4 linked regions of the Diceros bicornis minor genome follow. The protein of the gene in region 2 purifies or fractionates together with the protein of the main gene of each other region. This does not show direct contact. Links are inferred from orthologs where the notes say so. Each region holds a gene or a part of one and is shown on either strand. Other genes may lie near its edges.

Region 1 (7,482 bases), on a different chromosome or scaffold from region 2:
GGTCCAGAAAGGGGAGCTTCTCCCAAGCCCCGAGTTTCATTAAGTCATCTGGGCCCTGACACAGCACTGCTAGTGGCTGCAGTTTGGGTTCTACTGGGGACACGTTGAGTTTGAGGGGCCTCTGAGACATCCAAATGGGGATGTCAGGGATACAGTTGGCTATCTGGATTTGGAACTCGGGAGTTTGGGCTAGAGATCTAAATTCTAGAGCCATGAACACGGAGGAGGAAGTATAGGCATGGGACCAAGCTTTGCTGAACTCCTAACATTTAAATGCCCTGCCCCCACTCCACCTAGCAACTTCCCAAAGATCTAACTTCCCTAATTCCTGTCCGCAGTTGCTCTGTCACTCCTTCCTGTGCATTCCCACAGCTCTCTGTATAGTCCCCTATTATAACACTTTTCATACTACATCATAACTCTAGGTTTACATATTTGTCTCCTTCACTAAACAGTGAGCTCCTTCAAAGCAGAGACTCTAATATTCAATGTTGACTCTCATGCCATTTCATCTACCACACTGGTGAAGACTAAAAAGATGGGAAGACGGTACCCAAAATTGATTGAGGAGGTGGGAGAAGAGGATGCTGTCTACCCTGCTGCTTGGCACAGTCTTTTTGTGCTACTTCTAGGAATTATCCTATAGATATATTGATATTAGTGCACAAAGATATTCTCTACAGTGATGCTCATTGCAGTATGATTTGCAATACTAAAAAGCTGGAATCGACCTACATTTCTTTCAGAAGGGAACTGGTTAAGAAGTACTCAATGGAATATTATGCAACCATTAAAAATGAAGTAGGTTTCTATACAGTGACAAGGAAAGGCAACCAGAATATTTCATTTAAAAACTGTTCGTATAGAACACTCCAGTTTGTGCTTAAAGCAAAAAATATAGACTTGCATATAGATGTATTAAAATGTCTGGAAAGCTACACAAGCAACCACTGAATAGTGGGTATCTTTGGAGAAGGGCAGTCAGGTGAACGGGCAGGTTTGGGGAGGAATTTTACTTTTCACTTTACAAGCCTATCTTATGGTTGGATTTTTCTTAAAACTAGAAGTGTATATATATATATATATATATATTGTGTGTGTGTGTGTGTGTGTGTGTGTGTGTGTCCGTGTCTGTGTGAGGAAGATTAGCCATCTTCCTCTACTTTATATGGGACGCCGCCACACCATGGCTCGATAAGCGGTGCGTCAGTCTGCGCCCAGGATCCGAACCCACAAACCCTGCACCGCCAAAGTAGAGCTCGAGAACTTAACCACTATGCCACCCAGCCAGCCCCTAGAAGTATATGGTTTTGCAACAAAAAAAAAACCTTAGAAAAAATTGTAAAATGTTTAATCTTGGTCTCCCTGTCTCCTTCTCTATCCTCCACATGTTTGGCACCAAGTAAGTGTTTAAGATTGAACAGATGAACTACACTCTTGGAAGAGAAACTCCTGTCCAGGGCTGGAGCCCTTCTCCCAGGAACTGGCTGCAAAGCAGGAGACATAGGCAGGGCCTGCAGATCCTCCACTGGTGGAGATCACACAGGTCCAGCAGCAACAGGCAAATTTTGAGTATTCTCAGCCCGTCAGTTAGAGACTCACATGAAAGTGCAAGTCTGCAATAGGGTACTCAATAAATCTGTGTGTAGCAAGAATAACAATGGCCGCTATCGTTTATCAAGTACCCACTAACTGCCAGCCTCTGTGCTGAGTGCTTTACAGACACTATCTCTTTTAATCCTAACAGCCCTGAGCTAGGTATTGTTATGACTTCTGTTTTATCAAGGAGGAGGAAGCAGAGGCTGAGCACGGTTAAGCAATGTGCTCAATCACTCAGCAGGTAAGAGGTCTAAGAGCCAGCTTCGGACCTCACTCCATCTAAATCACTATGCTCTCAATTGCTCTTGCATCCTACACCATAGTAACTAAACTATGAGAGGAAATAGGGTAGAAGAAACTTAGTCTTTTCGGAACCTCCCCCCTCCAAAACAAAGTCAAGCTATAGTCAGTGAAAATGAGACAGATTAGAGAGCAGGCCTTGCAGATCCACACCCAACATGAAGCAACCAAAAATCTTCATTAGGCATAACTAAATGGCACAATAATAATGATTACTTCTGCTTATAAGCCCAATTGTGAGGAGGTTTACACTGGTCTTTGTCAATGTTCACAACAATTCTGCAAGGTAGATGTCAGTACGTCCACTATAAAGGCTCAGGTTGTGGTTTTCCCAATGACATACAGCAAGGACAAGGCACTGATGAATTTGAATTTGTCTGCCTCACTCCAAAGTCAGAGTCATTTCACAAGGCCATGCTGTTAATACCTTCAGGTGAACCTGGAGCAGCATACCATGGTCAACACAAAATGAACTCTACACTTTCAAGGTGGGAATTACTCTTCCCTGCCCCCGGGAAGGGCCCCCACAATGGAAAGCTGCTGCATTACTGACTTGGTAAATACATCGCAGCCTCAGCAACCCATCACCTGCCTCAGAGATTACCTTTTGTGTATCTCACCAAGAAGAAGAGCTCAAAGCTCCCCTTGACCCCACCCTCAGAGAAACTAAGCAAAAGGTTTGACAGCCATCTGGAAAGACTGCTGATTTTAGTCTAGATACCCACAGATACCACTACCCAGCTCCTTCTCAGACACTTCTTCATCAAAGTTTTATTAGCCTCAGCTCAAGGTACCTCCATCTGGGCATCTCATTACAGAGCAAGGACACTTCAGCCATTTGTAACACCACCACCCAAGCAGGATTTTCAAGGATAGCAGCAGAAATGAGTTGCAACGGAGCTATAAATCCTCCTTGCCCCCTTTCCCCTCCTCCATGCATTTGCTCTATCCACCCACCTATTTCTTCACAGTCCACAACTGGATTACGACTCCCATTCCTTACCCACGTCTCTGCTCATTTATTCACACTTCCCTTCTGCTGGAACTCATTCTCCCCTGGCCGAAATCTATCTTCCGCTTTGAGCTGCAATCGCACTTAATATTCACTTATCTTTTGGCATTTGTCACATTACATTTTTCATTCCAATTATTCAAAAACATTCTTTTTTTTTTCTCCTACTTGACTATAAACTACCTATGTGATCTTAAACTACAGTACTGCACCACACACTGGAAATACATATGTATAATACATGTGTGATAACTGATGGAGATACTTGTGTTTTGTTCTCATTTCTGTGGATGATTTCTCTCCCCCGTCCCCAAGAAGGTAGCCAGGCCTTAATGTTCTCTAGTTGAAGGCTTCTAAGTTTCAGATCCAAATATCAACAGTTTCCAGGCACCCAGAGGACAATTTCCAGAAATGCTTTTGAAAAGCCTGGGCTTATTAGAGGAACTGATCCAGAAGGAAAAGGGATGGGAGTGAGTGCTTTGAATGGGGGAAGCAAAAATCTGTGGAGGGAAGGAAGGGTTAGAGAAGGCACCAGCTCTCTTGAGCCTTTATGGGACAGTAGAGACGTAAGCTCCTTTTGCATATAGCACTCGAGGGATGAGGAGAATGCTGTGGGAGACTGTCCGCTATATACCTTGGCCTTTAGAGCAGTAGTAAGGGTCTGTCTCTTTGAGCAAGTCTGGAACGATCCATTGTGAAGGCCCAACAAAGGCAGGATTAGCACTCACATCCGTATAAAGAGCCACCCTAATGATGCAACCATCAGGGATTAAGGACCTGGTCTCTACCCCACTTTTTTGCGGAAGAAACACAAGTCAGCAGAAAGCAGTACTATACGTAAAGAGCTAAAATGCTTCATCTTTTAAGACTTCTCTGACCAACAATGGCAAATGTTTTAGAGCCTTTTATACTGGAAACCATAGGATACGACTTCTTGGGTTCCCTGCTTTGGTCTGGTGCCCTTTGCTAGATTTCAGGTCTCCTACCTGAACCTTACCTCTTAGTTCAAGTCCTGCAATAGCCTTCGGTCTTCCCACTGACCCGTCCTTCCTCACTTGCTCCTCCAAGCTTCCTTTCCCCATCTCCACCCCTCATCCCTGCGTCAGACTCTCCCTTAGTCGTCCCCTTTTCACTCCTAGTCTCCCCTGCGCCCTGTCTGTTCCTCTCCTCCTGCCTAGACGGCCTCAATTTTCTCTCCTTCCCAGGCGGGTCTCCTTTCATTTCCATACTTTAGAGACCGCCCCCCTCGCCCGACCCCCCCACCCCCCATCCCCCCATCCCCCCACTGAGCACAGCCCGGCTCGGCGGCTCAGCCGTTGGAGGGGGCGCGGCCCCGCGAGTAACAGGTCTCCCCCCCCACACTCTGCGGGCTCGCGCGCAGACAAAGACATTCCACAGCCCCCGCCCCTCCGCGCACTCGGCCAGAAGGGGGAGGAGACACGTGTCCCGCTAGCGCCGAGTCACGTGGAAAAGAAAACGAACGAAGCCCGCGGCCACCCGCGCACGCGCACAGAGCTCTGGCCTGGCGGGCTCGGAGGAAAAAGGGGAGCGGGGAGGCGACTTCTTCGGGCTCCGCGGCGGTGCGCAAGCGCTGTGGCCCGACCGGGGACTTTGTTCTCCGCGGAGAGACCCAAGGGCGGTGCCGGCGGCTGGCTGCGCACGCGCGCCGCCTCATTTCCGGTGCTCTCTTTCGCTGGGTCGGTCGGGTCGCCTTCGGTCGCCGTCGCTCCCGCTCTCCCACCCCCGCCAACCGCCGCTCGGGCCTCCGCCGCTGCCGCGTCGCTTCCTCGATCCCTCGATCGCACATCCTCCCCAATGCAGCGCCGGGACGACCCCGCCGCGCGCATGAGCCGGTCCTCGGGCCGCAGCGGCTCCATGGACCCCTCCGGTGCCCACCCCTCAGTGCGTCAGGCGCCGTCTCGGCAGCCGCCGCTGCCTCACCGGTCCCGGGGAGGCGGAGGGGGGTCCCGGGGGGGCGCCCGGGCCTCGCCCGCCACGCAGCCGCCACCGCTGCTGCCGCCCTCGGCCACGGGTCCCGACGCGACAGTGGGAGGTCCGGCGCCGACCCCGCTGCTGCCCCCCTCAGCCACTGCCTCGGTCAAGATGGAGCCGGAGAACAAGTACCTCCCCGAACTTATGGCCGAGAAGGACTCGCTGGATCCGTCCTTCACTCACGCCATGCAGTTGCTGACCGCAGGTGAGCCGGCCTCCCGGGTCCCTCTGGGTCGCCAGGCCACCCGGGGGCACGGGTGGCAGCGGCTTTGTTCCGCTCGCATCCCTCCCCCTCGGGACCAAGGCAGGCGTGAACTCCCCTTCTTCTCTCATCCTCATTCTGGGGAGCCTGGATTCCACATTCCCGTCCCGGCCCAGGGTGCGAGGGGGAGTTTCTAGGCTGCAGAGGAGGCCCGAAGGGGACTTGGCGATCTCAAAGATCTGGATGGATAGTGCTGAGCTCCCCGCCCCCTTGCCGACCCTTCCCCCTCCCACCTCTCGCAGCTGCCCCGCGCTCCTGGTGCTCAGATGCTTCCAGAAATGAGCCTTTATCACCCCCTTCCCCCCAAAGGGAAAGCTTTTTTGATCTCGGGTGGCGGAAGGCGCCCCGAGTGAGGGTGTAGGAGGTGAAGACAGCCCGAGTGAGGAGGGACGGTGGGTGGGAAAGCCGAGGTGAGGCGAGGTGAGGCTGAAGTGCCCTGTCCAGCGCGCCGCGGTCGCAGGGGCGGGTCGGACTTAGCGGTAATTGACGCTTAAGTTGCTTGGAGGCAGGAGCAACCTGTGGGAATTGGAGCTTGATGTTTTCCGAATCAGATTTCCGACTTAGGCGGATAAAATGATAATTGCTACAGAGCCGGAAGTTTGGATCACTTTATTTTACAACGTGTGTTCATCATTCAAGAAGGGGAAAAATAACCCTAGAGACAGTGAAATCGGATGGTTAGAGGGAGGTAAAGGGTGGTTTGCATTTGTATTTCCGGTGAGGTGGACAGAAATTGAAAGAAGTTGCACGATGCTTCTACCTGAAAGGCTTGGTGTTTTTAGTTTTTTTCTTTTGGCTTCGGGAGTGAAATAGATTAGGAATAGTAGTCTTTGTTCTCTGTCTGTGGGCTAGCGCTCCTTTCCTGCTCAGCACTGGCCAATCACCTAGTCGCTCTGATTTCTCCGTAAAGCCGCCTGTTTTCCTCGCACTTTTAGTTAAAACGTTTTAATAAGTATTTGTTATGATACCTAAATTTTATTAAGCAAGTAAAAATTCACAACTCTCAACACTGAATGAGTAGTTGAACTCTTTGGCAAGGTTGATATAATGGACAGATGGTTATGAAAATATCGTTTCCCTCTCTTTGTTCTCTAGCCCCCAACATTGGTAAAGGGTCTTTACTTTTAAACACAATAAACAAAGCACGCAGTGGTCAAGAATAAGAATATTTAGATAAACTGCTTACATTTTCAACTCAGGGTTTTGCTGTTCTGTAACACAGATTGTTTGAAACATTAGTGTTCATTGTGTTCTTCTGGCAAGCTCTTTGAGGGCAAGGATTGCCTTTTATCTTGGTATTTTTCTTATTGCCTTGAATATAGCAAACACCAGGTGTTTGAATCTGAAAGCAAATACATGCAGATTTAGGAATGTCAGACTAAATGGTAAAGATCGATTCGGTAGTCTAATTTTTATTTCCTCAAATCTTTAATCAGTCCAGATTAAAAGAATGAAAACAGAATAACACACCTTTGAACTTTAAGATGTCAGCTTGGGTTTTGAAATTCTGACCATTAACTAGTTACTTACTCTTAGGAAACTCTGAACCTCAGTAACCTCATCTGTAAAGTGGGATGGTGAGTTGTGAGGATTAAATGATGTTTAAAAGCACCAGCACAGTTCTCTTTGGCCTTTTGACCTATTGTCAATAGATAATAACTTGTCACCACAGTTTTCTTCTAGTTGTAAATCCCTGGTTCTGAAAAAGGTATGAAAACACAAGATATTTTTTGCCTTTCTGACCACATCAAGTGCCCAATGTGGTGTTTGTCTTTTAAGTAAAACATGGTTTCTTAGGATAACCATCAAAAACTATTGATCCTTAAAAGTTACTTATAATTCTCACGCTTCTCTCACTGCTTAACTTCTGTTACGAGAGAGTGCTGTTTAATTTTTTTAACTTGGGCTTTTTTGATGTCTTTTTTTTTAACCAAACTGAAATTTTAATTGGAGAAATGGGATTAAGGTAATGCTGGCTTATTGAGAGAACAGATTTGGAGTGTATGGATACTTCTTAGCATGGATAAGTCATGACATATATTGGACCTAGCTTTTAAGGTATTTTTGAATGATCTGGAGAAGGGGTTGCAGTGGAGTCAACCAACTGTGCGGAAGTGAGACTCTGAGAAGACAGAATAGTGGTATCTAAGCTCTGATAAGGATACATGTAATAACAATATAGCTAACATTTATTGTGCCAGGCACTGGTCTGAGCACTTTACATCAAATATTTAGTCTTCATGACAATACTATGAAGAAGTTATCTTATCCTCACTTTTACGGATGAAGAAACCAAGGCACACAGAGATTAAATAAT
Region 2 (7,515 bases):
ACAAGCCAGCTCTTCTCAGGATGACCTGGACTCCTTCCCATTAGTACAATGATCAGCTAAAGCCATCCTCCATAAGGAGAGAAGGAAAATCAAGGTTTATGTCAGGGAAAAAAGATAACTGCCCAGAGTCGAAGTTCATGAATAACAATGTGTTAAGGGCAGCCATACTGAGTGAGTTATCAGTGATAGCTTGCACTGTAATTTATTACATTTAAAATCAATATCCACAGCACAGAGCTTTAGGCCCAATTTCATGTAAGGTGAATGGAAATAAAAATAGACCAAGTAAAAGAACAAAAAAAAGAAAGAAATGCTTTACCAGGGGTTGTTAAATGGGCTATTCCAATAAGATATGTAAATCATACTATGTGGTTAAATAAATACCTCAATAAAAAGCAAAACTACTCGTCTTCATCAGAAACCTATGTACCCTGGGTACCTTCCTCTCTTTTCTAGAGCTACTGTCAAAGGCTCTGAAAATCACCAGAACTTTCCTAGACATATAAAAATCCAGTCACTTCAGAGGTATGTTTTTTCTTTCTCTTTCCCCAATCATCATCCTGGTCACCTACAACCCAGATAAAAGTTTCCTATTTATTGGTTTTCAGACAGACCAGTGAAGATGTATTATTTTCCCTTTTAGTGAACAATGTCCTTTTTTGGTTTGGTTGCAATCTTATGCCTCTAAGTTATAAGCACAAGTGCTCAAAATTTAATTTTTCTAACAAGGACTCAACATTTTGTCTTGTTAACGGAGTGGTACAAGTTAACAACCAAACCTGTCTTCAAAGGCAAGAAATAAAAGTCTAAAGTTAGGATTTTCAATGTGATAATCTCAGAATATCAATGAAAAATCACCCACTAAAATTTCCCCACCAGGGAGAAATGTTCATCAGACCTATTAGCTATGACACTGCAAGAGAATTCACAATAAAACAATCTTTACTTGTACAGCACAGTAAACCAAGAAGTCTATGTTCAAATCCTGAAATCTTTCAAATTAAAGTATACATTAAAAATATCAAAAAGGGGTCATTGATTAATTTGTTTATAAATCCAAGTTGCTGGGGCTAGAGCTGAGAAGAATTGACTCACAGAGACATCTAAGATGGCATGATTTGGTTACCTATTCTTCAGATTGCTTGTTTTTCTTTTTTCCCCAAACTGTGGGTCTGTACACAGCTGTGAAATCATTTCAGCAGAAACTGATCTATGTTTTTAAGAAAATGAAATAGTGTCCTATAGATGAGGAAATACCAGAGTGCTTTGCACATTTATATTTATATACATATTTGTATAGTGTATACATTGTTTCAATGTGAGTACAGGTTCAGTATAAAATGTGTATTTCTTGCTGAGGGTCAAGGTCAAAAAAGTTTGAGACACTGATCCAAACGAATTCCAGTAAAGGAAAGAGACTTAAATCAGGTGAAAACGTAAGAAGCATCAGAAGCAAAGTCTACCTTCTTCAAAAACATATTTGCCATTCATTATTTTAGGAAGCCAAATGAACACAAGATGCAATCATGTTTAAATTGCAAGGAATGGTAAAAATCTTGATGAAATTTTCCTTTTATCCAATGAAACAATTATCACTGTATAGCCGAAGAGATAATCATTAGGATTTAGTGATCCATTAACCATAGGCCAATTCCTAAAAACATAAACACTTCAACCATCTTCTTCCTCTAATTTCTAATTAGTAAAATAAAAGATTTTGATGAGATAACCAACTCTAGTATCTGTCATTTTAGATCAATGGTTTTCAACTGGGGGAGATTTTGCACACACCCCACGCACCCACTCCAGGACATCTGGCAATGTCTGAAGACATTCTGATTGTCATAAATCAGGGTGTGGAGAGGTGAGATGCATTTATCCAGCTCAAGACATCAATAGTGATGAGGTTGATAAACCTTGTCGTACATCAAGATTGTATTCCTTTCAAACCTAAGGGACAAATAGCCTTAACTTGTGTCTCTTCAGTTCTTATAAGCTAAGCAGCTGCATTATTAGCATACCTACAAATAGTTTATAACCAAATATGAAATAGGTCCTTTGCAAGTGCCAGAGAACGTGGAAATCTCTCCTCTGTTCATTACAAGCTCAACTAAGATCATCTTTCTTTTGTACAATGTCAGAAAACTCTAAGCATAAGTGTGCTCCATATGTAGTTGAACTTATTACAGTATTTAAATTTTTCTCCTTTGACCCTAAATAAATCAACGAACAATGGAGCAGTACAGACTCTAATACAGCCAATATGTAATAAAAATTTTTATATTTTACGAAAACATCTTGGAATAAGCAGAATGGACATTACCAACAGGAGATGGACTGCATGTAAAATAAACACTGAAGGAAATACAATCAAAAGGCAATAAATAATCCAGGTGATAAATGAGACCTCCTGTTCCCAACACCCTAAATGTCATCACTCTCCTTAAGCAACTTCCTTCTTATCCAAATTCAGACATCCTCAAAGGAGCAGCAGAAAGAAGGGCTTAGAGAATCTTTAACGATGCAAAGAAAGAGACATAAGGGGGGAAAAGTTCCTCACAGGCTAAGATAAAGGCAGTGGGGACAAGGAAAATGCTTGTAAAGTGCTGAGCATGATGCCTAGCAGGTACTAAGCACTCAAAAAAAAGTTACCTTTTTAAATTTATATTTTTATACCGAGAATCACCTTAGTTCTTAAAGGGAAAAACAGCTCTCTTTCGAGGTGTAAGGAGAAAATGGGTGACGAGAAGTACGTGATTATGACTGGAAACACAAAAACTGACCTTTTAACTTAACTTTAGTCTCAAAGTATTATCCCTGCGAGGATTTAAGCATTATAGATCCCACCTGCCTCGATCCCATTTTATGCCTAGAGGTAACACACTCTGGCATGTAGCTTTCCAAAACTTTTTCTACGGATTTACAAACATCGATTTGTCCGTGGAAATATGCATTATTATGATGCAGAATTTCTTCGGGCGCCTTTCCACGAGAATACATAAAGATTTATCCTCTTCATTTTAACATTTCAAGTCAGTCTTCCTAGAGAAGCGAGTTCCTAAAGTCAAAAAACCTCCCTTGCTCTCCCTAAAACCTATGAAGTGGTGGACGGCGGGATGCACCGATGTGGGGAAAAAAATGCCGAAATCGAGACACACGGGAACAAACTTAGAGCTTCCGGACCAGGGAGGTTTGGGGATGGAGGCCCATGGGCTTTGTTAGAGAGAAGTCATTGTGGATGAAATACCTACCCCGACGCGCCATCACGGGCATTGAATCCCCTCCCCACTACCCCAAATCTAAGACCTCCCTCTTCTGGAGCGCTCATTGGACGACCTGCGCGAGCGCCTTCCGGAGGCTGACCGCCTACTGGCTCCAGAACCGGTCCATCCATTTACCCGCCCGACTCCCGCGTTCCCCATTGGAGTCACACGGCGGCCTCTCGGAGGAGCCCAACCTACCGCGCGCTGCGTGCTCATTGGCTCGGAGACACGCTGCTCAGGAGGGGAAAACCCGCCTCCCACATTCCGATGGCCCAAGGACCGCGCAGTCGGCGGCTACAGGCAGACCCAATTGGTCTATACACTCGCCAGTCAAACGCCTCGGATGCAAAGCTCCACAGAACCTATGCGGCTAAAACATCCCGCCCCTCTTCTTCCATTGGCTGGCCGGACCCACCGCTCCCCTTTCACTGGCCCCCACCCTACAGTCCATTCATTTCACACAATAACGGGCCCAACTGGAGTCGGTTCAAGACCTCGTATGGGTAGGCAAGGCTGTCAGCCACTTACCCGGGATGGAGACCGATCACTCACGCTAACGTCTTCCCCGTTCCTCTATGGTGAGGCCGGACCACAAGCCACTGCTGCCGCCGCCTTCTGCGCAACGCCAACCGCCCGCCAAAACGGATCCTTCCCTGCGCCTGCGCGACCAATCCTGGAACCGGACCCTTTCTCCGCCCATTACGCCTGCGCAAAACGGAGCACAACTCCCGCCACTACGCAGGCGCTGTAGGTCCGCCGCTGTCTCCCGCCCGCCATTTCACGTGTTCCAAGCGCCAGGGGGAACTTCTTAATGCGCCTGCGTAAACTCGCCATTTTACTACACATGCGCTCAGCAGGCGATCTTTGCAAAAGAAAAAAAATTATCACATGCTAACTACTTTTCCAATACATAGTATTAATCATACATTGCTCCGTGGGTTGACTATAATATCCGGGGCGTGGAGGATTAAAGTTATTTACATAGCTTACGTGTATTAAAATATGAATGATTGATTGGCTAGCCAATCAGTCTGGTTAAGAATAATATTAGTCGGGAACCAATGGCCCCCAAGGGGTGGAGACTGCGTAGAACGCCCAAACGGATGACGTTATACAGCAGTGCGGCACCACAGACCAATAGTAGGGGGAAGCTGTTTCAAATAACCAATCAGAGCTACGCAGGGGCGGAGTCTACCAATGCCGACACCGAGGAGGCGGGATAAAAAAGCGAGGCCGAAGGTAGGCTGGCAGATACGTTTAGTAGGTTACTCCTTTCTGCTTGTGGACGCCGCTGAGGAAGCATCGTTAAGGTCTCCCGTCCCACTGTAGTCATGTCTAAGTCAGAGGTGAGTAAGACGCTCTCTCCAACTTCAGTCTCTTCCTCGCCCTCCCCTGAGTTCGGTAGGACGCGGCCTGGTTTGGCTGCTTGTACCAGCCCATTCGGTAGTTCTTCGATCGCTGCCAGGGCCTACTCCTCCCAAAGTTCAGGTCGCCATTTTGTCCTCGTCGTCGCCATGAGGCCGTCGTCTTGCAACCCTTAGCTACCACGCCGGGCTCGTTCTTCCTGGCAAAACTCTTCGGCACATTCGATCTATTTTTTCCCCTTGTCTCGGTGGGCGAGTTTCTTGAGGAGCAGCTACAGTCCCGTACTGGCACGTACCAAGCCCGCCGGGTCCTTTTGTTGCGCGTGCGTCGGAAGGAGAGTGGCGACGCATGCGCTCGCGGCTCCCCAGCCCTCCCAGCCCCGAACATAACGCCTCCCCTGATGGGGGGAAGCACGTGGCCTGCTGCGGCCCCAGGGAACAATAAGTGCTTCGTAGGTTGCTGTCTAGTTATGCTTCTCTCAAGTGGAAGGTGTTTCGCACTATAGCCCAGTTAACGCTTTTTTCCCCTGCTCCTAGTCTCCTAAAGAGCCCGAACAGCTGCGGAAGCTCTTCATCGGAGGTTTGAGCTTTGAAACAACCGACGAGAGTCTCAGGAGCCATTTTGAGCAATGGGGAACGCTCACGGACTGTGTGGTAAGACTTGGAAGAGGCAAAAGGCGATAGAACCAGTTGATTTTCTTGGCTTATCTTGCTATGGTTCCTGTCCGACTGCTTGTGAAGATTGTTGACAGGATTCGAGTTAGAAACAGCTTGGCAAGGGAAGGTGGGGCTTTGTTAAATTGTTTAAAAGCTCCTTTTCAATGGATTTACCCGAGGTGGGTAGTGGGAAACTGAAGAGCTTTGCATAGAGCCTCCTATTAACCTTACTCAAGCTAGAAATGACTGTAGGTTTTGGAGTCTTACTGTGTATTAAATCAATTGACATCTCAGGTAATGCGAGATCCCAACACCAAGCGCTCCAGAGGCTTTGGCTTTGTCACGTACGCCACTGTGGAGGAGGTGGATGCAGCCATGAACGCAAGGCCGCACAAGGTGGATGGGAGAGTTGTGGAACCAAAGAGGGCAGTCTCAAGAGAAGTAAGTGATATTTTTTTCCTTCCATTAGTCATTTAGAAGTGTGCCACTAGGTAGACGTCACATTTGTGGGTGTTACAGGGTTTTTAACATTCTTGATTTTGGGCTAGATTTCGCCAAAATAAACAACTTAATGGGGTTTTTCCTGTTAGGATTCTCAAAGACCTGGTGCCCACTTAACTGTGAAAAAGATATTTGTTGGTGGCATTAAAGAAGACACTGAAGAACATCACCTAAGAGATTATTTTGAACAGTATGGGAAAATTGAAGTGATTGAAATCATGACTGACAGAGGCAGTGGCAAGAAGAGAGGCTTTGCTTTTGTAACTTTTGATGACCATGACTCTGTAGACAAGATTGTCAGTAAGTATCAGACGATGGGCACTTGCTAAGGGTTCTGAAGTCCATGTTGTATTCCAAACGGTGAGATCATGTTCTCTTTATCTTTGACATTTTTTAGTTCAGAAATACCATACTGTGAATGGCCACAACTGTGAAGTACGGAAAGCCCTATCTAAGCAGGAGATGGCTAGTGCTTCATCCAGCCAAAGAGGTGGGTTTTTTGCTTAATTAAACCTTAAAGATCACTTTGAATAATTCCAACCTGCGTGGTTTAACACTTAAAACTTCTCTCTCAAGGTCGAAGTGGTTCTGGAAACTTTGGTGGTGGTCGTGGAGGTGGTTTTGGTGGGAATGACAACTTTGGTCGTGGAGGAAACTTCAGTGGTCGAGGTATGTATTGTTAATGGTTTACTACTAAGAATTAACAGTAAGCTTGTGATTTAATTACCCCCAGGTAACTTGTCCTTTTTGCAACCTGTGGTAGATGTAACTACTAGCCCACGTTTTCAAAGTTAGATTTTATCCAAATGTAGTTCTGGCTTCGTAACAAGAAGTTAAAATTCTTGGTATGGAAATCATTTTTGCAGTACAGGAACTGCTTCCTAAAACTTAAGACTTAGAAGAGTGTGATTTGTATGCAATCCGTAAACGTCAAACCTGGTTTAAAACACTGCTTTATTCCAGGTGGCTTTGGCGGCAGCCGTGGTGGTGGTGGATATGGTGGCAGTGGGGATGGCTATAATGGATTTGGTAATGATGGTAAGTTTTCTCAAGGAATACACAGGTGGAAAATATTTTGACAACCTTTAGAATAGGTTAGTAGAGACTAAAATTTTAGTGCATGACAAGCTCAGCTCTGACCATAACAGCATGCTGTGAGCAGGCTTTTAGCCATTACGCTTGCACAGGTTTTGATTGTTGAATACTTTTGTCTTATTGAGAAGAATTGTATTCTTGTAGGTGGTTATGGAGGAGGCGGCCCTGGTTACTCTGGAGGAAGCAGAGGCTATGGAAGTGGTGGACAGGGTTATGGAAACCAGGGCAGTGGCTATGGCGGGAGTGGCAGCTATGACAGCTATAACAACGGAGGAGGCGGAGGCGGCTTTGGCGGTGGTAGTGGTAGGTATCCAGTGATCCAAGTACTTGGTGCAGTAGCTAGATTAGCCTCTTGGAGTTGATGCTCATGTGGGGATTTGGTGCTCTTAAAGCATTAACGTGGTACGCTGCATGGTATTCTTTTTTAATGGGCTTGCTAATGCTACCTCCTCCTAGCTTTAAGCTGGGGCCGCCTCACTCCCAAATAGATGGGTAAGTGGATAGTGGTGTCTTGAATTGGAATTAGATTAGCTTCTAGCAGGATTTAGTTAGTATTTTAATTCCTTTGGGACCTTAGGCACTTAGTTGATGTATCCAGCCTGAGTTTGCAATGTCCCTGAACGGGTAAAGGCCTT
Region 3 (7,954 bases), on a different chromosome or scaffold from region 2:
TTTAAATAAATTACACATTTCTTAACTGTCCACCTATGGAGCCTGTAACTTGAGAAAAAATTACCTGTAGCATCTACTTTCTGTTAATACTCTGGAATATCACAATGTTTCTAAAGTCTTCCATGTACTGCAGAGGCTAGAAATCTGAAAACTATACTTCCCACTCTCTCTTGCCAGCAAGGTTCAGGTTTAGCATCTGCCCATGAGATGTGCAAGGCACAGCTGAAAAGAAGCATTATGCTCATCTGTATTGAGCTGGCAGAAGGATAAAGGGCATGGAGGATCCCGCACCTGTGTTCTTAGCGGGCCTGGCGTGGAAGAACAGCACCTCAGTCACTGCAGCCTCCACTACACTGGACGCATCTCAGTACACAGCCAACTGAACTGCAGAGGCGGCTAAGAAACACATCTATCTGTGTGCACAGGAAGAAGAAATTCAGATTTGGTGAACAGCTAGCGATCCAGTCTCTGCCACATGCTATGATCCCACTAGACAATCATACACCATACCATAACAGAACGGGAATAGTGGCCCCTCCCTGGTGTCATAAGATGCTGAGACAGAGGTGCTGTGTACAATAAGCCAATGGTGGTACATGTTCCCAACGGTGGTACATGTTCCCAAGTTTGAGTTACTTGATCTTGACTCTAAATTCGGGACATCAACACCCTAGTACAGACCAAACTGCCCCAAACCTAGGTCAATGTGTTTATATGATCTCTTCTCCAGATTAAGATACAAAGAAAATCATATTTGTATGTCTTCCCTTTAGTCTTGAGATCTCAACCTTAAAATGCATAAAGAACACACATACACAAACATTCACATATACAAAAACACATATTCTTCTTAATAGCAGCAATTTGCTGACACTGGGCAATCAAAATCCAAATATAAAACCACCATGGATGATGATCTTTTGCAACACTCTGCAGAACAATTTAGATTCCTGGAGCCACATTGTCCTGAAACACTTTATTACAAAGGAGCGTCTTTCTACTTTACATATGCATAGTCCCACTCAGTAATTTTCCAGGAAAAAGAAAAAAAAAATGCCTCAGAGGTAAATTTTAGTCTCCACCACTTAGCAGAAATACAACTCCCAGAAACTTTAAAATGTCAGGGTCAAAACATTAGGGTTTAGAGAAATCCAGTCACCCTATATAGTGTAGACACATATCTACATGCTAACAGAAGCCTTGAGACCTATTTTCATTATCTTTTTTTAATTTAGAAAAAATGTAGAGATTAAAATTAAAAAATTTTTTCTTAGTATTCATTCATATTTTTTCTTAAGTTCCAAGATTGTGTACTTAAATGGAGTAGAAAAAAATCCACTACTTTAATGAGACTATAGTTTTCAAGGGAAAGTATGTTACGGAAGTCACTCAAGGTCTTTAACACGGATCCTGGAATCCTTTGACCTCACTAACAATTTTTTTTTTCCTTTTCATGAGAAACAGATGGAATTATCAGATAGTGGCAACTGTTCATAGTTAGGATAACACGACGTCTGGTTTGTTAACTAAAGTTCTGTTTTAACTAAATCTGACTATAAGAGCTTCAGTCAACAAGAGTCATCCTCTACAAATTCATTTTCAGTGTAACTAAAACTTCCCAATTTGAGTTCCAAATTTTGTGACAAGAAACTCTACTGAGTTATTTAATAAGTTCTTCCATATTCTTCCTGATATAAGAGAAAAACATTTCCTCCATTTTCCCTCCTTTCCCACCCCCACACAGCCAGATCTTTCAATTCTACAGACCTCTAGGATTACTTTTATCAGCACACCCCCACTCCCCACCCCAAGAGGCAGTACGTCAATTAAGGGTTCCATTTTCCAAGGGCAACACTAAAAAAAAACTCCTCACCCAGGTCTTCATGAATATCAGACCCATGAAAAATTATGCAAGTTGTTTCACAGGGTGAGGGTAAAGAAGACGGAGAACAGGGATTCCCTGAGACTGGGAAAACAGTGGTAGTTTCCAGTGTGTGGCCTTGTGTGGCTCGCCCTTGCTGCATCCAGAGGCGGCTGGACTGGGAGGTGGTGCCTGTAGGTCTGCGAGCAGCAGTCCTGGGTTCTGTGGCCCAGCCACCATCAGTGCAGAGGACATTCGAGGGAGCCATCTTTCAGCCCGCCCAGAGCACAGCACAGGCGGAGCACCGGTGACAGTCACAACGAGCCAGCACTCCCTTTGCTTCCTGGCACTAGGTAACCTAAGAATCCTTGAGGGTCCAATCAAGGCAGGAAAAAAGTCCAAGTCACAACTGACGCTTTTCTTCCCATTAACGTCCTTCTCGTCTTTCCTACTAAATCTCCCCTTCGTGCAGGTTTCTACTACATGGACATTTACTCTGAAGTGTCTGCCTAAAGCAACAGCCTCAAGCAATAATGTACTACTTCCTGCTGAACATGTCAGCAAGAATTAGTCACTTAAACTCGTAACTAAGATTCTATTCAGGATCGACAAACCTGAGGTGAAGAGAAATAACACAACTTATCAGAAAATAGAACACCCCTCTCTCGGCTATTGAGAGGACTGTGTGAAATACGCAACGTCCTTACTCTCCTGCTGCTGCCACAATGAATGACTGCACACTCAGTCTTCACTGGCACAAGTTCACCACCTTCTGTTACCTCTGTCGCAGGGAAGCTGCGACAGAGTTCCTGCCTGGAGCTGGGGGGGGGGGCTCCGCTTCCTCTTTCAGTCTCAGAGGCTGCTGCACTCCGTAGCTGTGGCCCCTTCCTCCACCTTCAGAGCCAGCGACAGCCGAGGCCTCCCATGGCGTCACCGTGAACTCTCTGCGCCTCCCTCTGCCACTCTGAAGGACCCGTCATTACAGCAGCTCACCCAGGTAATCCAGGACATCTCCGCTCCACGACCAGCTGACCAGCAACCTTCACTTCCCTGGCACTGGAACACAGCATCCTCTCAGGCTCCGGGTATCAGCATGCGGGCATCTCTGGGGTCACTGCTCTGCTGACCACAAACATGCACCAGCCAGTCACGACCCAGCGGGTACTAAGTGACAGATAAATGCCCGTCCTCTTCCCCTACGCCCTGACGTGGTCTGCTGGGGCGCCGTAACTAACGCCGCAGGTGCAGGCCGGGTGGCTTCCACAACAGAACTCATTTCTCAGCTCTGCTGGCGGGGCAGTGCAAGCTCAGGGCGCCCGCGCTGCAGCTCCTGGTGGGAGCCCCGTCCTGGCTCATAGACCGCCTGTCTGTCCTCACACGGCCTTTCTTCTGAGGAGAGCCAGCGCGCTCTCGGGGTCTTTCTTACCAGGACACCAATCCGACCAGATCAGGGCCCCACTTGACGACCAACTTGCCTACCTTCTCAGAGGCCCACCTCCAACCCAGCACCCTGGGGGCCAGGGCTTCAGCGCAGGAACTGTGGGGGACACGTCCAGGCCACAGCACTGGCTCACTAACGACCCACACTGCCTCCACACACCCACCGTCTCACCTACCGAACAGGTCACACACTTGTCCCACCAGTGTGCCCAATGGGCACGTCTAATGGGACACGGGTACCAACGGGCACAACGAATGGGCGCATTTACCGCAATGCTCATTCCGATGGTCTTAATACTCGCCTCCAACTCCACAAAGGTGTAACGTCTGCCCTTTCTGTGCTGCTAACTCGTCCGAGCGGCCGCTCTCTCGTGTCTCCTAAGCTCCCAGTATCAACTCACTCCCCACGCACTAACTAGACACCCCGCCAACCCTCCCCACCACAACCCCCTCAGCCCACGCCCCTCGACTCCGGGGGCGCTACCTGCTCACTGACCCCCTCCTCTCTCCACGTCCCACCTCACAGCCGCAGCTCCCACTCTCCGACCCCAGGCCCCCCCACGCCCCGTGTGGCCTCCCCACCTCACCGCCCGTTCACCCGCCTGTCTACACCCGCTTCCGCCTCCTGCACCGCTCTGTCCTCGAAGCAGCCACGGCCCCCCGGCCCCCCGAGTAACCGCCGTCCTCTACGGGCGTGTCGGGTCCTGGCCGGCCAGGCCCCGTCCCGCCTCGGTCTCGGGGAGTCCCCTCACTCTCCGCACCCTCTGCCCCTCCTCCCGATGACCTCTGCCCTCCCCGAGCTCACTGCCGACCCCGCCGTCCCTCAGGACGCCCTCAGCCCACCCAGGTAACCTGTCTGGGGGGAGAGGCTCCCCGACCCTCCCGGGCTCGCTCTCGGGGCTGCAGGGCAGACGACGCACGGGCCTCGTGCGTGGGTCTCAGGGAAACCCACGGGGGGGCGCGGAGCCGCTGCCCGCGGCGGCGGGAGGAGACTCGGCCACCAGCGGCGCCCGCGGGGACGCGGTCCCGGTCTGCAGGGCCGGCCCACCCCGCGGCTCCGCGCGGGGGCACTGGGCACAGCCGCGTCCTCGGGGCTCCGCTCGGAACCCCGCCACAGAGGGCGCCGGGCCCGTGCGCCCCTCTCCGCCGCCCCTCCTCGGGACGGGTCGCAGGGAGCCGCGCCCGCGTCCTGGTCACCGTCCCGCCGGGCGTCCCGGCGCCTCCACGGCCGAGCGGGAGGGCGGCGCCGGTCCGCCTCCCTCACACTCCGCGGCGCCGCGCCGCGCACGGGGAGCGGCGGCCACTCTCGCGGCGGCGCCGCCACAGAAGTCGCGTCTCCGGGACGCACGCGCTCCGCCGAGCCGGCCGGCAGCGAGCTCGATTTCACCACAAAAGCCCGACGGAAGCCCACCCACTTCCTCACACGCCGGGCGCGGGCCAGGCCCACCCGGCGCGGACGCACGACGCACGCACGGCGGCGGCCCGCGCGGCGCGTCACACAGCCTCGCGCGGGCCGCCCTTCGACCCCGCGGCCGGCGCCGTGACGTCACCGGAAGCGCCGACCAGGGGCGCTCAACGGCCCGCCTCGCGCCGGCGCCGGAAGCGAGGCGGAAGCGGCCTGCACCCGCTTCCGGGCCGGTCGCCATTTCCAGCGGCGGCCGGGGCTCGCGGGCTGGGTCCGCCGGGACGATGAGCTACGACTGCCCCCAGGGCTGGGGCCGCGATGGCGGGCCCCGCAGCTCCGGCGGCGGCCGCGGGGGGAGCCGAGGCCCCGGCGGCGGCGGCGGCGGCGGCCGGGGCGGGCGAGGCCGACACCCCGGGCACCTGAAGGGCCGCGAGATCGGGTTGTGGTACGCGCGGAAGCAGGGCCAGAAGAACCGGGACGCCGAGAGGCAGGAGGTGACGGCGGTTGGCCGGGCGGGCGGCCCCCTCCCCGCGGCCGCGGGGCGGAGGTCTGTGCGGGACGGCGGCTGTCGGGGCTCGCCCGCGGTGCGCCGAGCGGGGCCGCCGCCTCGTGCGGAAGGGCAGTCCTGCTCTCGCCCTCACTGTTGAAACAGCCAGACCGGGGTTTCTGCTTGACGTCGGGCTGGGGTTTTTGCTGTTGGCAGCCGCTCCCTGAGAAGGCAGCGGGGCCCCGGGGGTGGGAGGACTGTGGAGAGGGTGCGTCTTAGGCTCTTCTCCCGGGGCTGGACGCTGTCCGCCTGGCTGGCGTCTCGGGGATGTGCAGTAAAAGGAACGTGCAGGCTCCCGAGTGGCCTGTCCTAGTGAGAAGTCGTGGTTAACAGAAGCCCTCCTCATGCAGGCCTTGGGCCGTGTTCCTGGAGACTGCTGCCCAAGCGCCCTTCGTGCCGCATGGAGTGTAACCGCCGCTCGGGCTTCTGTGTTGAAGTCGTTCTTTCTTTTAGTCCTGTCATTTTCATTGAAGTGTTTTTGGGCATTATCTGTCTATCTTAGCAACTCTTTAAAAAGAAAGCGTATTTCTATGATAGCCCAAAATTCATCTGTTCGGTGAGCAGGCTGGTTCTTGACAAAGTCCAGGGAAGCGGCGGTAAGACGTCGTGAGGCTGGAAGAATCGTCGAGCGCTTACTGTAGAGGGACCTGCCCAGTACCTTCTATGCACTCTCAGTCACGTCTTGTTTACCCGCGTGTCGCGCGAGGTTTGATGCATGTTGCTACGGGGATCTAAGGAAATAATGACGTTCAAGGAGCTTACAGACTAATTGGGAAAAGATGAAAAGATAATTCAGAACTTGTTCGTTATTTTGAGTTGAAGCCGGTTGTGTGATGGGTTATCGTGAATGGATGTCTTGATTTCCGCCCCTCCCCAAACCCTCTCCATTTTAGTAAATGTCACTACCATTTATCCACTTGCCCAGGGCAAAATGGGTTTATCTTTGATTCTCCTCTTTCATTTCAGCAAATCTGTCTGCTCTGCCTCCCTAATACATCCAAAATCCAACCCTTCCTCCCTACAGCAGTTACCGTAGACGCGGCCGCTGCCTTGTTTCTGTTTGTCCACTGTAACTGGTCTTCTAGCTTCCCCTCCTACTCCCCATGGGTCTGTCCTTTGTGGAGCCACTCTGGTGGTCTTTGAAACAAAAAAAATTAGATCATCTCATTCTCTAGCTCTCAACTTGAGACTGGAAGCCAGGTCACTTCTCAGTCGAATGCATTTGAGTTGCATCCTAGCCTGTTTTCCAGGAATATGGTTATCCAGCTTCAATGACCTTTCTGAGCCATGTCCTCAGTCTGCTGTAATTATAGCTTTTGTAAACAAACTTTTATTTTTGCTTTTTGTTACAGTTCTCGTACTGTTCTACTCTAAAATGTGTCTTTCTATCTTCTCTACCTAAATATGAGTGTTTTTCAATAATTGGCCCACCCTCCCTTTCTTTTACCACCTTCAGCTGTATGTGATCGCTTCCCACTCAGAATTCCCATAGCTTTTACTTTGTAAGTAATCCCTGTGTTTACAAAGTGAATGCATTCTATGATGCACTTTTTCTTTCAATAGATATTTACTAAGGGTCTAATATATTTGAGGACGGTATCTTAGGCACTACCTTACAGAGACTGTGGTGTGTTAGGGGCTGTGGAATACAGTGTTAAACATTACAAAGGAGAATGTGGGCTATCCTCTTAACTCAAACGAGGACAATTCTCGATTTTTCAGAGGAAATAACCCTTAAGCTGAAATTTGAAAGATGGCAAAGTGTGTCTGGTTTTGAGATTTGGGGACTTGGAAAGGGATTTTCAGGCAGAGGCAGCAGCGTGTGCCACAAGCTAGAGGTGAAAAAGACCATGTTCAGGGAACTGAAGGAGCAAGAGCACGGCTGTGGAGTGTGGTGAGAAGAGGGCAGGTCAGTGGCTCTCACACTTGTGGGCCACTTCCCACAAAAAGGAATATATTTTAATTTGCAGCCCAGTAGATGCATGTGTGTAGCTGAACAAGTTTTGTAAAATGATAATTACCTGTACTTTACTGTGGGTTGTTGTTGTTGTTTGTACCTTTCTGCTCTCTTTTGTATTAATATTGGTCATAATCCGTTAATGTAATTTTACACACAGCAATTTGAAAAGCCCTGGGCTAGGAAAGTAAGCAGGGCCTTGAAATTCATTGACTTTTCCCTAAGAACTCCTGCAAGCCATACAGCATTTGAAGCAAAAAATTAAATGACTGGATTTGTGTTTAAATTTACTCTGTAGGGAATGGATTGAAAAGAGGCAATCCTGAGACAGGGAGACCAGTGAAGGAGCCCTTGCAGTAATTAAGATGAGGAATGATGGCTTGAATTAGGACATTGGCAGTGGAGATGGAGGGAAGTGGACAGATTAAAGTGATTGAGGAGATAGACTCAAAATGGTTTTATCTGGTGGGAAGGGGAAAGCAAGTGTTAATGAATGACACTTTTATGACTATATGTGGAACAGCCTTGATGGAGGAAGGGGATGGACTCAGCTTAAGGACACTGTGAGTTTGATATTGTTATAAGGCATAGAAGAGGGGATTTCTAGGAGGTAGAAGTCCATGTGGATCTGATGCCTAGAGAAATCTAGGCTGCAGGTGAACTTGTGACAGTTTGTGGGCCTGTGGACAGTAGTTGGAGTGTGGAAGTGAGCAGTGAGAGGAGGAGTGGGTACAGGCCTCAATT
Region 4 (7,956 bases), on a different chromosome or scaffold from region 2:
GAGGATACAGCAGTGAACAAAAGCTTTACATACCTTACAATCTACTTCAATATCTGCCAAATGCTTACTATGTACCTAGTGAGGGGTTAGGCCCGGCTATAAGACGGATAAAAATGTACTTTAAAATTCTTCATTGTGTCTCTTCTAGCCAAGGCATCTCCCATTTCACCACAATTCCTGTACCACAGCTTTGTTTTTTTTTTTTTGTGAGGAGATCAGCCCTGTGCTAACATCTGCCAATCCGCCTTTTTTTTTTTTTTTTTTTTTTGCTGAGGAAGACTGGCTCTGGGCTAACATCCATGCCCATCTACCTCCACTTTACATGGGACGCCGCCACAGCATGGCTTGCCAAGCAGTGCGTCAGTGCGCGCCCGGGATCCAAACCAGCGAACCCTGGGCCGCCTCAGTGCAGCGCGCGCACTTAACTGCTTGCGCCACCGGGCCGGCCCCCAACAGCTTTGTTAACAACGGTTTGTATGAGGAAGTAGCAAGCACTGTGCTATGTGCTTAACAAACATTATCTCATTTAATCTTCTCATTTACCCTATGAAACTGGTAAGTGTTACTATCTCCATTTAACGGATGAAGAAATCAAGCCTCAGAGAGATAAAGTAACTTGTCCAAGATCTCACAGCTTCTAGGTGGAATGAGTAAGAAATATGAAACAAGGCCTCTCTAATTCCAAAATCATCATCATTCTCAAAGATGATATATTACTTCACTATTCCCTTGGATTATTTCATGGGACCTCAAAATACAAATCTGATGAGGAGGCAATGTTCAACGTTTCTACAGTTAAGAAGAGAAATGTGTTCCTTATTTCATGACTGTGGGAATTTTTTTTTTTTAAAGATTTTATTTTTTTATTTTTTCCCCCCAAAGCCCCAGTAGATAGTTGTATGTCATAGTTGCACAGCCTTCTAGTTGCTGTATGTGGGATGCAGCCTCAGCATGGCCGGAGAAGTGGTGCGTCAGTGCGCGCCCGGGATCCAAACCCGGGCCGCCAGCAGCGGAGCGCGTGCACTTAACCGCTAAGCCACAGGGCCGGCCCTGACTGTGGGAATTAAACGTATCATTAAATCGTGGTGCTGAGAAGGAATAACAATCAGGGCTGATGAGGACATCAGAGGGCCTGGGCTGATGTCTGCATCTCTTCTACAACATCACCACCAAGTGGTCACACGGTTTATACTTAAGATAGTTCCCCAGTGGTCAACTAACCCCTCACCGTAGCTTTATTCATTCATTCGACAACTAGTTATGGAGCACTGACCATGTGCCAGGCAGAGCTGGGAGCAGGGGATGAGAGGAATAGGACAGATGTCTTGATGAGTGCAGCTTGCATCCTAGTCCCCACGTAGGGAACACACAACAAACAAATAAATGAACTTTTTACAGTGCTTTGAGGAAAACAGAACTGTGTTGGGATCAAGAGTGAATGAATTCTGAGTGATACTTGATTACAGAAGGCCTAAGAAAGTGACTTTTGAGCCAAGATCTGAAATGACCAGGGTCACTCAAGGGACAGGGCATTCTAACCCAAGAGAAGAGATCCTACAAAGCTAGAAGGTAGAAACATGCTTTGTGAATTCAGTATATGGAAGAGCCAGATCATGTCAGGTTATGCAGGTGAGAGTCAGAGTTTGGATTTTTTCCTAAGTGTAATGAGATGCCACTGGAGGGTTTTAGGCAGTGACAGGATCTGATTTTTGTCTGTAAAATGGGGATTATCATAACCACCTTGAAGAATTTTTGTGAGGATGAGAGATCATGTAAATAAACTGCTCAACATGTTACAGGCACTCAAGGAGTGAAAACTGTTAATTCAGTGAGTCTTCACGGAGCATCTCCCAAGCACTCCCAAGCAGAGGCTCTACAGATGGCTAAGCCACAGTCTCTGCCTTCAAGTCCACCTGGAGAGTCAAGATATTTACAAGTACCCATTTCCAGATCATCTTATTTCCTTAATTTCCGGTCAATTCCCTACTATGTATTCTATTCTCTAATAATGTACAGTATTTGGCAATAAGAACTTAAGCTCTGGAGTTAAGAATTGCCCTGGTTTTCAATTTTAGCTCCACCACTTACTAGCTGTTTAACTGTTTCCTTAAATTTACCTCAAAGGAATGCTGTGACACTTAAATATGTTAATACGTGTAAAGGGCTTAAACAGTGCTTGCCCATGGCATTTCATAAGTGTCACCTCAATGAGCCCTCCCTGACCACTCTCTTTATAATTTTATTTATTTATTTTTCCCCCAAAGCCCCAGTAGATAGTTGTATGTCATAGTTGCACATCCTTCTAGTTGCTGTATGTGGGACGCGGCCTCAGCATGGCCGGAGAAGCGGTGCATCGGTGCACGCCCGGGATCGGAACCCGGGCCGCCAGCAGCCGCCAGTAGCGGAGCGCTAGCACTTAACCGCTAAGCCATGGAGCCGGCCCTATGATTACTATTATTGTTACTTGAGTCCAAAAGTAGCACTGGACACACACTGTAAAAAAGCTAGATTTTCACCAAATCATAGCTGACGAATACCGCAGTAAAAAAAAAAAATCCTTTTAAACAACCATTACAAAGTGTAAAAACTACTACTAATAATTTCTATGGCTGCAACTTGGACCGTTCGAATGTTTTCATATACTTGAAAACTTAATTAACTCTGTGGTTATTCTGCTTGCCATAGAACAGACCTAGGAAGTCTCCTTTCTTTAAGCAGATTAATTCTAATGATACTAACTCTTGGCATCCATCTCTTCACCCAAGGCCATCTGGAGATGGAAGATACCGGTTATCAAAGTCAACATCCCGATTTATAGGAAGGAGGAAAATGAGGAAAAGCTATCCAAAACATCTAATACAGGTGACTTACACGAGCTGAAGCAAGTGCATTCTTCCCTGTATTTTAAATATTAAAGAAACAACGCCCTATACGTAAGTTCAGTATTTTCTCTATAGCGTGCAAAATTCCCTAAAACTATCAGCATCTCCTGGGAGTCTGTTAGAAATGCAAATTGGTAGGCCCCAACCTCAGACCCATTAAATTGGACATTCTGGGGTTGAGGCTCAGGAAGTTGTGTTTAACAAACTCTCCAGGTGAAGTTTGAGGACCACTGCCCTATAGAAACTCAATTAGAGCCCTATAGCCTGGAAATATATATATATAACTAAATGACAGCAGAAAAGCACGTCAGTGGTTTTTCCACTGTTCACAGATTTTCATGTTCCTGCCTTGACACTCCACCCACCCTTCAGCCCAGTTCTTACCAGCTAGATTGTTGTAGCAGTCTGTCTGGGTGGTGTGCAGTATGTTTTCTTGTTCAGGTGTGAGAGCCGGGCCCTGAGGTCCTAGATTAGGAATCGGGGAGGGCAGACTTGGGTCCAAACCCCGCAGCTGAAGCAGAGCTCGATGATACCTACTCACAGCATCTCGGTACTTCCCTTCCCGGTAACGCTGGTTGCCTTCCTCCTTGTACAGCTGAGCCTCCTGCAGGCGCTTCTCCATAACTCTCGGTCGCCCAGTGCTCTTGCGGAATTGAGAAGGGAAAGAGCAACTGAAGCTCTGGGTATGGGAGCCAAGTAACTGATTTTGGTCGCCGATTTAAGAAGGCAAGAAATTATCCTTCTCCAGGAGGTCCCCCCAGGGAAAGAGCTTTGCTTGTTTCTATCACTGCCCCTTCCTCTCCTCTCTGCAGTATTTTTCAATCTCTGGAAGTGCAGGAAACTAATCAGGGAGAGGATGTGGGAATAGTAGAGCCAGAAATTAAGTGATTTCCTAAAGAGGCGATTCCGAAGGTGGCGAGACTCCCCGAAAAAGCAAAGGCCCTACCAACAAATTGTGGCAGGCGTGCGAACGCCGGCAGAACTGGCTTCCCCCTTTCTTTTGGACACACCTCCCTGACCTGGAAGCGCAAAGGAGTAGGCGGGGACAGCTGCTAAAAGATGTCTGGAAGGCTTTCCTCCCTCCCGACTCTTGCACTTCTTCAACAAGCATTTGTTGACGTCTGTGCCAGGAGCTAGGGAACTGAGGTGAACGCGGTCCGAGCACCCCAACCCACCGGCCGAGACTGACGCGACCACAGGGCAGCTCACTTGCAAGTCCACCAAGCCCTGCGGCCAGCCCCTCGCCCTCTGCAAATGCCCAAGCCCGGAAGTCTCTCCCCGCGCTTCGGTTCACGGGCGGGACCACCGAGAGGACCGGGTCCAGTCTCCCGACAGTTTGGTGTCTAAAGTGTCGCACGATTGCGCCACGCCGCCCAATCAGAAGCGGCCCCGGAAAAGTAATCCCGGCAGAAACTACCCCGCCTCTCCAGCCTCCCCTCTGGCCCAACCCGGAAGTAAAAAACAAAACCAGGCAGCTTCGCCAATTGGAAAAATCCAAACGATCACAGATGACCAATCAGAATTGCAGATGACGATTCAAGTTGGCCAATGAGAGAGCTACAAGGGGAGGTCAGGGCGTCTGTTGCTGGGTAGAAGTTGAGGGAAGGCGAGAGGAAAGGAGGGCCAGGGGTTACTGTATTCGTTGGTTTTGGAGAGCCCTTATGTGTGCTAACCAGAAAGACAATTGCTAGTAGGCTTTCATGTTGCAACAGTTTCCCTTCTGGCTTTTTTTTATTCTCAAGAAGCTGCTGCACGTACAGACAGAGACTAGCGAGTAAGCCCTAACACGACAGCGCAATCGGAAGGCAGACAGAAGTCAGGTGGTGACGGGGTGGGAGGGGCGTGTGGCGAGGGAGCTCCGGGCGGCTGCGCAGAGCCCACGGCTGGAAGTACGGACAGACAGGCGCGCACACGCCTCGGTGCTACGAGGCACTTGAGCCGAAGCCAGCCTTTGCCGGCTGCGGCTCCCGTGCGGCTGCGCGGTGACACGACCGGCGGCGATTGGCCCAGGGGGTGAGAGGGGGCGGGCGGTAAAGGGAGGGAAGTCCGCCATCCTCGGCGCGCGCCCGCCCGCGGCAGGGGAACCGAGGGGGCAGGAAGCGAAGCAAGTCCCCGCTGCGTTGTTTTGGACCCCCCGGGCCGAAGGGGTGAAAGGAGGGGGAGGGAGAAACAAACCTACGTAGCGGAGGCTGCGCGCGGCCCTCGCCGCCTGCGTGCGTACGTGCGTGCGCTCGCTCGCGCGGGCTCCGTGCTGGCGCGTGAGGCGGAGGCGGGCGGCGGCGGCGCCTGCGCGGTCGGGCTCGGTCGACGGTTCGCAGGGGAGGAGGCGGCGGGAGGCGGAGGAGGCGGCGGCGGCGATGGAGGTGAAGCGGCTGAAAGTGACCGAGCTGCGGTCGGAGCTGCAGCGGCGGGGCCTGGACTCGCGCGGCCTCAAGGTGGATCTGGCGCAGCGGCTGCAGGAGGCGCTGGACGCCGAGATGCTCGAGGACGAGGCCGGCGGTGGCGGGGCCGGGCCCGGCGGGGCCTGCAAGGCGGAGCCTCGGCCTGTGGCCGCGTCGGGCGGCGGCCCGGGCGGGGACGAGGAGGAGGACGAAGAGGAGGAGGAGGAAGACGAGGAGGCGCTGCTTGAGGACGAGGACGAGGAGCCACCCCCTGCCCAGGCCTCGGGCCAGCCCGAGCAGCCGCCGCCGGAGCCCCCAGAGGCGGCAGCCATGGAGGCCGCGGCCGAGCCTGATGTTTCCGAGCAGCCAGCGGAGGAGGCGACGGCCGGGTCAGGTGGGGTAAACGGTGGCGAAGAGCAGGGCACCGGCAAAGGGGAGGAAGACGAGCCGGAGGAGCGGAGCGGGGAGGAGACGCCGGGATCCGAGGCGCCTGGTGACAAGGCCGCGGAGGAGCAGGGTGAGGAGCTGCCAGCGGAGCCTGGCTCCAGCCTGCCGGGTGCGCCTCTGACCCAGCACCCAGCCCTGCATCGCGGGGTCCGATCCCTTGTTCTCGCTTGCCTGAAAGTGCAAGATTCCCGTCGCCGTTTGGTGGGACTCCCCAGGGGAGGTGGTTTTCATTCTCTACCCACGTTTCGAGGGGGTTTGGCCGCCTCCGGTGGCCCCACTCGCTGCAGGAGGGAGGTTGCTGCCTCACTTGGTTCTTTGGTGGTAGTGGATGGAAGTGAGCGGTTTTGCATGCGAACTGCTCCGTGAGCGACCTGTGGAGCAGCCTCCCGCGGTGCTGGTGATCTTTTCCTAAAGCGAGAATGCGGAGGACTTGGCGGTAATAGGGGGACAGCCAGACCGACTGCTGGAGGCTTCGGCCTTTGCGCTATCTGGCTGTTGATTTTTTCGCCATAAAAATATTAAGCAATAAACTAAGTTCGTCAAAGTTCGCTCCATCGAAAAGCACGTTGCTAGAGCTTGAGCCACGCAGGGTATCTGGAAACCTAACTTTGTTCCTGCTTTAGCAGCAGGGGACAGCCTGTGGTGTGAGGGTGTCGAGTTTAATAGTTAACTAGTGAAGAGAAAGCCTTAATCTAGTGCATTTGGAATAAGTTAACGATTCTTGGGTAGTAGGGGTTTTACCTTGTCTGTGTTTTTATGATTAAATTTTAATCTTCCCACTGAGTCGAAGAGTGAGCATATTTGTAAATTTGCGTTGCTTAGGTAGCCTTTTACATTTCAGGTCCCTGGCTTCCTGAATTGGAATGGTTGAGGTGTTGGTGGGTTCATTGAGTAACCTTCTGGAAGAGAATGTGTAGAGTCGCCTCAGGGAGTTAGTGACCTTTCTCTCTTCCTTTGAAGTGATTGGATGGTTAGAGCTGATCCATAACTATCTGTCAGAGTAGAGAGGAGAACTAGAGCTGCTTCCAAGACTATGAAGTGGGTTGCCTTAGTTCTTATAATACATTTTTTAGGCTTCTGCTTAGTGTCATCATGTAATTGGAACCCCTTCTATGACAGTCGTATGCAACTTGCAGATTGTCTGTCTTATGTCCAGAAACAAAAATCCTATTACATAACCTTTGACTTAACGTGTATCCCAAATAGTAGATAAAAAAGGTTAAGGGATAAAAGACTGCCTTAAAGAAATTACTATTAAACCTTTCTAGTGTTGCAAACCACAAAGGCTTAAGGAAAAATTTGGGGGTTTTTTTCCTCTTGTAAAGAAGGTTGCTAAATATATGACAACACTTTTCTGCCCCAATTAATGTGCATTAAAGATGCAGTATTATTTATGGGTCTCTTGTGACTTAATGGTTTACTTTTGCAACTTTCAGTAGAAATCCATGATAAAACTACAGCTCTGTATCATGCACTTGAGTCCATCTGCTATTTAAGTAAAGCTGTGGATGGCTGTGCATTTTAAAGCTGGAAAGGTAAACTATTGAAAAGAAAAACTGAGGCTTCTGTGTCATGAAGCTGTGGAACAGTGATGGAAAATACATATTAAGTGTCTAGAGCAAATCCAATCTAACAATCAAGAATCAAAATTAAATTAACCTTGAAGTTTTTTAAAGACTTAGGATATATTTTCTTATGTTATATTGGTGGGAAAATCTGCAAGTTTGACCTGATTTAAGCAGATAAATTTAGAATGCAAAAATTGTCCAATTTTTATCTACTCCTTGACTGTAATTAGTCCATAATGTTCCTTTTTTTTTGAAGTAAAATCTCAACCAGTGACAGGAAGATAATTTTTGGAAATAAAATGTTCCATGCATGCAGTAGGAATAACCTGCCTATTCTGATTAGACAGATACGCAGATGCCCTGTTAGTTTCTTTTGGTTCTGAGCTTATTCTACACTCTAGTATGAAAACTGCTGATTTTTTTTCCCTCCTTTTTGTAGGAGATGACCAAGATAGTGAAAAGTCAAAACCAGCAGGCTCAGATGGTGAGCGGCGGGGGGTAAAGAGACAGCGGGATGAGAAGGATGAACATGGCCGAGCTTACTATGAATTCCGAGAGGAGGCTTACCACAGCCGGTGAGGGAAACAGTCCCTTTCATTGAAGGGAGTGTCTGCTCTGATTTTGGTATACCTGATGTTGATTGGAGAGTCTGGAAAGATGGGTGGATTAAAAATGGAA

What was found.
Region 1: the proteins of HNRNPA1 (region 2) and KHDRBS1 purify together in Homo sapiens (co-immunoprecipitation; 4 studies listed by BioGRID and IntAct, with this or other methods). This does not show direct contact. The link is inferred for Diceros bicornis minor from reciprocal best matches to the Homo sapiens genes HNRNPA1 and KHDRBS1.
Region 3: the proteins of HNRNPA1 (region 2) and DHX36 purify together in Homo sapiens (affinity purification with mass spectrometry; 3 studies listed by BioGRID and IntAct, with this or other methods). This does not show direct contact. The link is inferred for Diceros bicornis minor from reciprocal best matches to the Homo sapiens genes HNRNPA1 and DHX36.
Region 4: the proteins of HNRNPA1 (region 2) and HNRNPUL2 purify together in Homo sapiens (affinity purification with mass spectrometry; 3 studies listed by BioGRID and IntAct, with this or other methods). This does not show direct contact. The link is inferred for Diceros bicornis minor from reciprocal best matches to the Homo sapiens genes HNRNPA1 and HNRNPUL2.

Annotation. Positions count from the first base shown.
Region 1 is NC_080752.1:46,852,061-46,859,542, forward strand, and holds the start of KHDRBS1 (KH domain-containing, RNA-binding, signal transduction-associated protein 1), read left to right. Parts: upstream 1-4,468; 5' UTR 4,469-4,726; coding exon 4,727-5,108; intron 5,109-7,482. UniProt on the Homo sapiens protein: Recruited and tyrosine phosphorylated by several receptor systems, for example the T-cell, leptin and insulin receptors. Once phosphorylated, functions as an adapter protein in signal transduction cascades by binding to SH2 and SH3 domain-containing proteins.
Region 2 is NC_080756.1:16,116,084-16,123,598, reverse strand, and holds the start of HNRNPA1 (heterogeneous nuclear ribonucleoprotein A1), read left to right. Parts: upstream 1-4,502; 5' UTR 4,503-4,594; coding exon 4,595-4,609; intron 4,610-5,164; coding exon 5,165-5,281; intron 5,282-5,578; coding exon 5,579-5,725; intron 5,726-5,874; coding exon 5,875-6,085; intron 6,086-6,182; coding exon 6,183-6,275; intron 6,276-6,361; coding exon 6,362-6,454; intron 6,455-6,748; coding exon 6,749-6,823; intron 6,824-7,024; coding exon 7,025-7,183; intron 7,184-7,515. UniProt on the Homo sapiens protein: Involved in the packaging of pre-mRNA into hnRNP particles, transport of poly(A) mRNA from the nucleus to the cytoplasm and modulation of splice site selection.
Region 3 is NC_080741.1:1,290,921-1,298,874, forward strand, and holds the start of DHX36 (ATP-dependent DNA/RNA helicase DHX36), read left to right. Parts: upstream 1-4,950; 5' UTR 4,951-4,990; coding exon 4,991-5,200; intron 5,201-7,954.
Region 4 is NC_080770.1:10,398,217-10,406,172, forward strand, and holds the start of HNRNPUL2 (heterogeneous nuclear ribonucleoprotein U-like protein 2), read left to right. Parts: upstream 1-4,942; 5' UTR 4,943-5,239; coding exon 5,240-5,780; intron 5,781-7,717; coding exon 7,718-7,853; intron 7,854-7,956. Other genes in the region: TTC9C (tetratricopeptide repeat protein 9C), read right to left, coding at 3,267-3,504.